Xenopus tropicalis: one gene and its partner. The protein of the gene in region 1 interacts with the protein of each later gene in a biochemical or structural test. Links are inferred from orthologs where the notes say so. Each region holds a gene or a part of one and is shown on either strand. Other genes may lie near its edges. The genes, in order: amfr and herpud1.

What was found.
Region 2: of the proteins of amfr (region 1) and herpud1, one has a biochemical effect on the other in vitro, tested with the Homo sapiens proteins (6 studies listed by BioGRID and IntAct, with this or other methods). The link is inferred for Xenopus tropicalis from reciprocal best matches to the Homo sapiens genes AMFR and HERPUD1.

Annotation. Positions count from the first base shown.
Region 1 is NC_030680.2:51,704,628-51,708,449, forward strand, and holds part of amfr (E3 ubiquitin-protein ligase AMFR), read right to left. Parts: intron 3,467-3,822; coding exon 3,426-3,466; intron 1,992-3,425; coding exon 1,859-1,991; intron 1,614-1,858; coding exon 1,480-1,613; intron 492-1,479; coding exon 381-491; intron 1-380. UniProt on the Homo sapiens protein: E3 ubiquitin-protein ligase that mediates the polyubiquitination of lysine and cysteine residues on target proteins, such as CD3D, CYP3A4, CFTR, INSIG1, SOAT2/ACAT2 and APOB for proteasomal degradation.
Region 2 is NC_030680.2:51,566,030-51,570,502, forward strand, and holds the start of herpud1 (homocysteine-responsive endoplasmic reticulum-resident ubiquitin-like domain member 1 protein), read right to left. Parts: upstream 2,895-4,473; 5' UTR 2,803-2,894; coding exon 2,668-2,802; intron 868-2,667; coding exon 790-867; intron 673-789; coding exon 619-672; intron 1-618. UniProt on the Homo sapiens protein: Component of the endoplasmic reticulum quality control (ERQC) system also called ER-associated degradation (ERAD) involved in ubiquitin-dependent degradation of misfolded endoplasmic reticulum proteins.

The DNA of each region.
Region 1 (3,822 bases):
TCACACTTCTGCTGTGGTTTATTTGGTTCTGCCAGCAAGAAAATCTTATTTAAAGATCTTTTTTAACCCCACATTTAGTAGTACTCTTTAAAAAGAGGCACATTTCACTCTGCTCTTTATTCAGGAAATTCTCCTCTGCCTTACTGATTACACCAGCTCTGGTCCACTGTAAAATAACAGTGCACGTTCACAACTGTATACACTACATATACAGTAAACTATTAGTACCAAAATTATTTTAAACTACAAAAATATGCCCATAGGATTTGAAGAATTACATTTTAACACTAACATTTTCTGCATATGTCTATTGCCAGTTGCATCCTCTGTCCACACTTCTAAATTTTTGGTTAAAGCAGATATCACCCACAGTTACCTACTTGTGGAAAAGATGACCGCAGGGAAGCTTCCGAGCAGACTGCATTGAATCCCAGCAGATAGCGCAGTCATCGCTGTTAGCTTCAAGTTCCTCAGGAGTTGCTACAGCAAAACTTCAAGACAAAAAATATATAGCAGCATTCCTTCTACTTGTATCGTCTTACAATAGACATTCACATACATTAAAGCATAAAAGAAAAAACTCTAATCTTGTAGGCAGTTATGAATAATATATGGCACTGGTTTCACTTTGGTCTAAAAATTAATACTATCTGTAAAAATAGCCCCTTTATTGGAGCTTCCTTTAGATCCTCTCAGGTCCCTGTCCGAGCTTCAAATGAGGTCCTAACAGTCCTTGCCAGAAGCACAAAAGGAGGGGCATAGCCAATCATAGCCCTGAAGTCACACAAGCAAAGACAGGCTTCAGTTCCCTATCAGTTCAGTCTAACTGCTGAGTGGTTTCTATCCTACAGTGCAGTGTGCCGAGTGCTGCTATACCCCCTGCACAGCCTGGGAAAGGAAGCAGCAGGAAGTGGAACAGATGGGTGGGACTAGTAGGATTTTTGGAGAAACTTTCAATAAATCAGCCCAAAACACTACTTTTTAAAGCACATTCCTTCTATTTAGCGGAGTACAATTCATTGCACAATGTCCCCTTTAAAAAGAAAGTGACAATGTGTTCAAAATATATTTTCTTTTGAAATCATATTTTTTTTTAGAACTATGTTGCTGGCATGCCTATGTTTTGCCAGCAATACATTTTACGTAGCTGACAGTTAAGGGTTATTGTCTAGTTTGTTTGTTTTTTGTTTTTTTTTTTAAATAGACAGTAGATACAAATATACACACAATGTTTTACTTTGCATTCACTCTTTTGTGACCCATTATATTACATGCATGAGCTGTAAAAGCCTTAGTGTTCCTATGTAAACATACTACATAAGCTATTCTCTGGCCTCAAACTAACATTTTACAACACAATATCAATACTCACACACATTCTATATCATGTCAAGTCAAACATTGAAAAGGGACACACATGCAACATTTAACATAGCTGCTGTTATCTTAACCTCTGAACCTTCAGTCATGAACACTCACTGAGCTTCCATGTTTCCAACAACTCGTAAGTAGTTTTTGTGGCGTCGTATTCGGCGCTGAAATTCATGAAAGAGGTGGCGGAGCTGCATGAAGATGACAAGACTTGCCATGGACAGCCAGATATTACCAAAAAGCTGAAAAAGCACGAATAAAAGTTGTTAAATTTTGATAAATCCATAGTGCTTAAATAAAGATTAGGAGCTAGCTAGAGGGTGAGAAGAGAGTCAGAACATTAAGAGATGTAAAGAGTTAAAAACAATGTAGAAAAGGGCTACAAGGGAAAAGGGAAAAAACAAAACAGATACAGCACAAGAGAGAAAGAAAAGTTAAAAGGCAAAGGACAGGAAAGACAGAAAATGTAAAAAATGGCATTACATACCAACATGTGAATATGATGCATTAGGTCTATGGACAGATGGCTGAGCTCCATCACAAAATCTGTGTAGTATACATAAGTCCCTTTGCCCTCCCATGTTCCTTCGTGGTTTAGGTCCCAAAGGTGAATGACATAGCTGCAAGAACCCATATTATGAAACAATAGAAAGTTACCTAGCTAGTATAAATTGGCACTGATAAAAGTACAAGTGTTGAAGACAATATGGCCCTCAGTTTACAGGTCAAACAGAATTATTGTAATGCAAATCAAACAGAAAAATGCTCATGCCCAGAACACCTGATAAATGTGTCTCTTATACTTTGTTTCATGCACTGGCTTCCAATTAAATGGATTGGAAATGGATTCTTTTTAAAATCTGCCTTCTTATAATTAAGGCCCTAATTATCTGAAAAAACTCCTAATTTCTCATATCCCCAATCGCTACCTCCAATCTTCTCCATCGCAATAAAATCTATTTGCACTATATAAAACGGTCATCTGCAATCCAAAAATCATCTTCCTTAAATGTATTTAAAATCAATCTCAAAACATATACACGCACCTGGGCTTTCTGAGTAAATTAAAAAGTATCTTATTCATCAATAATGTTTGTGTCCCATGGGAGACAGGCACTATAAAATTTTATTATAGGTTTCCTGAACTGGCTTGCAGCAACTTGCAATGTTATCCACCCTCTGCCCACACATTAAACATTTCTACCACACAACACTTATATTTGTATGGGTCTTGTGTGTCCCACTCTGCATTTATATTGCAAAAAACCTTTACCTGCTACCTAAATTTCTCAGTTTAGAATTACAGCTATAGGACCCGTTATCCAGAATGCTTGGGATCAAGGGTATTCCGGATAATGGATCTTTCCATAATTTGGATCTCCATATCTTAAGTCTACTAAAAAAAAATCAATAAAAGATTGATTAAACCCAATAGGATTGTTTGCATCCAATAAGGATTAATGATATCTTAGTTGCGATCAAATACAAGCTTCTGTTTTATTATTAGAAAAAGGAAATCAAAATCAATTTTAAAAATCTAAATGATTTGATTAAAATGGAGTCTATGGGAGACAGGCTTTACAACATTCCTAAGCAATCCTAAATAGTTTCACAACTGCCGGCTACTAACAGCACGTTTCTTGTTCACATGACTGAGGGTATGGCTTCCAAGTGGCAAGGTGATTTTGATCACGTCAGCTCACAGGACCCTCAGATCATGCAGACCATTACTGCCTCAGATGGAGAACATCAGCATTCATAACACCGGTCTCTGCCTGCCGCCCTGGCTGATGCACAAGGAACAGTGACAGACAGACCTCTGCAAGCAAAACTCTCCTGGATCAACAATGCAATACCTCAACTTCAGTTACACAGTTTTTCTACATCACATCAAAGGCTACATTTTAGCACAAAACAACTCTTGCAGTAAAAGCACGAGCTATTGCTGTAAGATAATATACTTATTTGATATGTTTTGGTTTTAACACTATTGTACATACTTTCATTTAAAAAAAAATAAAAAAAAATAACACAATAATAGTTTTAGGGCTTACCGTAGCACAACATGAGTGGTTCTTGTTGTCACCAACATGCACTACAGGAATAAAAGTAATTCATTTTTAATGTGCACAGATAATCAGCAGCTTTTAGATCACAATTCTCTTAAGTGTCCAGCAACAGCATAAAATAAAAATATTATTTCTACAGTTAAAATGCGTACCTGTCCAACCATCACCTAAAATAGGTGATACCTCCTGAGGATGTGTAACATACCACATGAAACAAGTAGAGAACCTCAGAAGTTTCCAGGATTTTAAAGAATTTTTATTTAGTGCTTGAATGAATCTCTGTGAGTATTCCATTTGGGTTTATATTTATTTCTTATTAAAATGTTACTACACAATTTTGGTGCACTTTGTTTTCAGTGGGTATCCACATAAGATAGACAGA
Region 2 (4,473 bases), about 140 kb from region 1:
ATGGTGTGTTCTATTTTATGCCGCCTGAATTTGATGCTCTAGGAAAAAAATGTGACATCATTTTTTAGGCACCGAAGCCTGGTGATGTGGAGATATATGGAATGATATTAATGGAAGGTAATTGGCTAATTACTTTTGTTGCATAACAGCAACAGTGGAAAACTGTTAAGGTGGCCATACACGGGCCGATTGTAGCTTCCGATATTGGTCCCTTAGACCGATTCGGCAGCTTATTGGCCCGTGTATGGGCAGGAACGACGGGCAGGTTAAAAGATTTAGTCAGATCGGGACCGCATCGGCTCATTGATGCAGTCCCCGAACCAAATGCGCCCACTGCCGCTGTTATAATTTAATCAAATTAGCCTACATTTGCCCGATATCCCCCACCCATAGGTGGGGATATCGGGAGAAGATCCGTTCGCTTGGTGCCCTCACCAAGTGAGTGGATCTTAACATGTATGGCCTTTAGCCAATGTTACAACAGAAGGCAATGCTTCATATGTATACAATAGAGTGACAAAGCATATGAAGCCTGGTCATATACTGCCCATCACTGATTTCAGAAATCGCTGACCCTGCCATAAGGAATAAAAATCATATGTTATCAAAGTAAGGTACCTGATTTAATGGGATCCTTTTGGAACAAACAAGGTGCAGTACATGTCTGCTCTCCTGTAAAAAAAAATAAAAATAAACACAGCTTTCAACAATCATTCTATCAAAGCACAGCTTCAGATTAACATTTTCTGTAGGGGGAAAAAATTAGAAGGTGAACTACAGAATATTTACCATAGAAAGAACTTCATTCAGTTTTAGGTGATCAGGAAGCAACTTCCCAGCATAGATCAATCTCTGATCTTGTTCCATCTAAAAACAAACAGACATAAGAGTTGAGGATCTACTCGCAGAATCCAGAGGCCTAACTAGCATACTCTATGATAACTTTAAGCTATTAAATCCCAAGCCATTGCCAGAGATTTAGAAGATGGTGACATGTCACTTCTATCTTAGCACCCAGGACGGGGTAGCTTTCAGCAAGCAAGAGCATTGGCCTGGGTTCTCAGGTAGGCAAGTACAATTATTGGGGGTTGGTTAACATTTTGGTACCCCAAATGATTATAATGCTCCTTGTCCTTTTACAGTTTTAGACTGCCAATAGCAGGTTCTCAGCTCACCAGCTCTCTTTAGATCAGACCCCAAATGTCTATTTATGCACTTCTGGTATTCAGTATAAAAATGTAAAACCACCAGAAAATGACCATGAATCACTAATGTTCTCAGAGAAGCACTCTGAATTAGAGGAAAGGAAGGTGCTTACCATCACTTATTCAAATGACAACACGTAGCAGTCCTAGTGGTTGCAAATTGTGTTCTATAGTGCTTCTGCTACAGTGCAAATACAAATCACCACAACTTCTGCCAGACTTCTTGTTACTACCACAATAAGAGTTGATTAATACTACCCCCAAAATTAGAATAATATAGATACATGCATAGTTAGAATATGTGCCCACAGTGACAGAATATGGTTTTAATGATAGACTGTTGACAAAACTACTGTAAGAGGAATTAAAGATACCATGTCAGAAAAACAAGACCATGTTCCAAGCCGCAATCACAAAAAAAAAACATGACATCCCATGAAAGTCTAATTTGATCATAACTGTTATATAATGCATAATCTATAATTACTGAAATAAGCATATATAGTAAGAAAATCAGCAGCTGACCAGTCACCAAACTTTATAACATTGTTAGTGTAGCCGACACAAACACTTTAATTGCCTACCATTTCTCAGAATTGAAAAAACTGCATACCTACTTTTAAAAGTCAGAAAATCGACTTGTAAATCAACAGCAACCTTCAACAACAGTTCAGATAGCAATGTCAGCATTCCAAGGATACCAAAACACCCCTCAAGCTCCTATTGGCAACTCCCTTCTTTAAGCTTTCATGGAATGCTGGGAGTTATACAGTGACAGTCCAAGGGCTGCAGGCAGCTCAGTTACAGCTCTATACCATAAAATATCAGGTCAGACCAAATGAGGGTTAGCAGCACTCACTAGTGCTAATTAAGAGACAATGGTATATACATCACAAATCTTTCCCTGCCTTTATAGATGTTACATAGGGACAACAGACACAGGAATGCCATTTGCCCCATGTCACCATTGAAGTATTATATGATTATATATCACTTTGCCTGCCTCAAAGCGGGCACTAAAGACTACAGATCTCTCTGGCGTAGAAAAACTAATAATGACGATGTATTAAGGGACAAAGCCCTGCTTTAATCTTGCGATGTTATTGGCAAGAGCAGCCATATTGGTACAGTAGGCAGACGGTCGCAACAGCCCAGTCAATACCGACAACCTAAAGAGTTAGATTTTTTTTTTTAAATCGGACGTGGCACAAATTATTACACCCGTGACGGGACCCGGAGCCATAAAATGGAATTACAACGAGGCCCTGATTCTGACGCTTTAACCAAGGCTGAACAATATTACGCAATTTATACTGAGCAACAATCTCACCAACAACGGCACTAGTGTCAAACCCTGCTGAAAGGACAAATGGAATTGCCAGTAAACAGACTCAGATCCAAACACATCGCATATATTTGGGTGGGAGTGGCTTAGGTTACACGTCTGTCGGACGATTCTTACCGGCTCCCCTGGTAGTTCTTGCCTTAGTTGTGTTTTCAGTTCACGTACAGTACAATTTCGAGGTGCACTGATCTCTCTTTCCTCCTGCCTGAGGCTGGGACTGCGTATAAGCAAAGTTACTTCTCCGTCCGACATGACTGTAGCACTGACACGCCACTTCCGGTGCCCCTCTCAACCAACTTCCCACAACCCTCTAACCAGTTCTATCTACAGTGAGCTCGCCGCGTCAGAGCAGATTCCTTTATAGTCCAAAGCGCTTGTTGCCAAACAACGTGTGGCTGCTTCTGATTGGCCAAATTAGGGTCTCATGGTACTACGTGTGCGAATTAACTTCGAGCAGTAACTGGGGGTGGAGTCAGTCTGATGCAATCCTGGTGGTTTGGTTTGGAATGTCTAGTTTGCTACAGCTCTCTGGATAGCGGAGTTGTCGGCCATGTTGTGACTGAGGCACAATAAATGGCGGCGGGTGAGAAGCGATAGACCCTGAAATGCCAATTTGCGCACGATTTAAAAAGGCATACAGAATTTTGTATTATAGTAAATTAAATGCTTACTGGCTTTAGACCACTATCTTGTTAAAATATGCAGAAAATAGGAGACTTGGCCAAACGTTGTTGCTAAGGGTATTATATAGATTTCTAAATTAAAAGGGAATCTACTACAGTAGACTAGTAGTGCTTGGCATGTATTTGCTGTAAAAACGGCAGGGCATTAAAAATATATCTTTGTAGTTTAGTAAAGTGTGATGCTTAACTATAAAATAAGGGTTGTACAGTTTTATTCAAATAAAGTTCCCTTTTTGATATTGTTTACATGACAATAAAAACATCAGTGAAGTCTCAGAAGGCCAAACCTATCCAGAAGGCACCATAAAGCTAGAATGTAATTATCATTAGTATTGAATCCAAATGATTTCAACTTATGTTGATGCATAAGGCTTGATGTTCTGGGTGACATGCCACAGCTACACTGAAAGTCCATAGGAAAAAAAGCATGAGAGGGCCTTAGGGTTGCCTCCTGCCTGGTGTTGCTGCTTAATGCCAATTCTGTAAATAGAAAAAAACAACATAGGAAAGAAAGTATTTTTTCCAGAAAAGGTGGCAACCCTAGAAGACCTGCGTCATTATGAAAAAGCCATGTTAAATAATATTCTGGACACTTGAGATTCAAACAAGGCCCAAATAATATTCTGAGTAAATACTAAACTCAGTGTAGTTTTGCCCCGCACTGGTAAAAGTTGTGTGTTTGCTACAGTAACACCACTATAGTTTATATAAATAAGCTGCTGTGCAGCCACGGGGGCAGCCATTCAAGCTGGAAATAAGGAGAAAAGGCACAGGTTACATTGCAGATAACAAATAACCTCTGTAGAATACAATAGTGTTTTATGTGTTATCTGCTATGTGCTTGTGCCTTTTCTCCTTGAATGACTTCCCCCTTGGCTACACAGCAGCATTCTGTATAAACTATAGCAGTGTTTCTGAGGCAAACACACCAGCTGTACCAGTGCAGGGCAGCATTACATTATATTGGAATTACTTTTATACACTCTAATTTTTTTTGTTACTGTTCCTTTAAGGCTCTGAAGTTTTTAAGATGAGCAAATGAAGATATTATTTTATTGGAAGACTGGCTGCTGTCCATATATTTTTTTTCTGGTCTGAGTAAATACTAAACTCTGTGTTTTGTATGTGATTGCACACACACAACTCGTATAGAACATAGGTCCTGCCAAATTAGCAGGAAGGCTAGTGCTGCTGTTTACCATATAACTTAGTGCTAAGTTAAAATGCATTGCAACTGGGT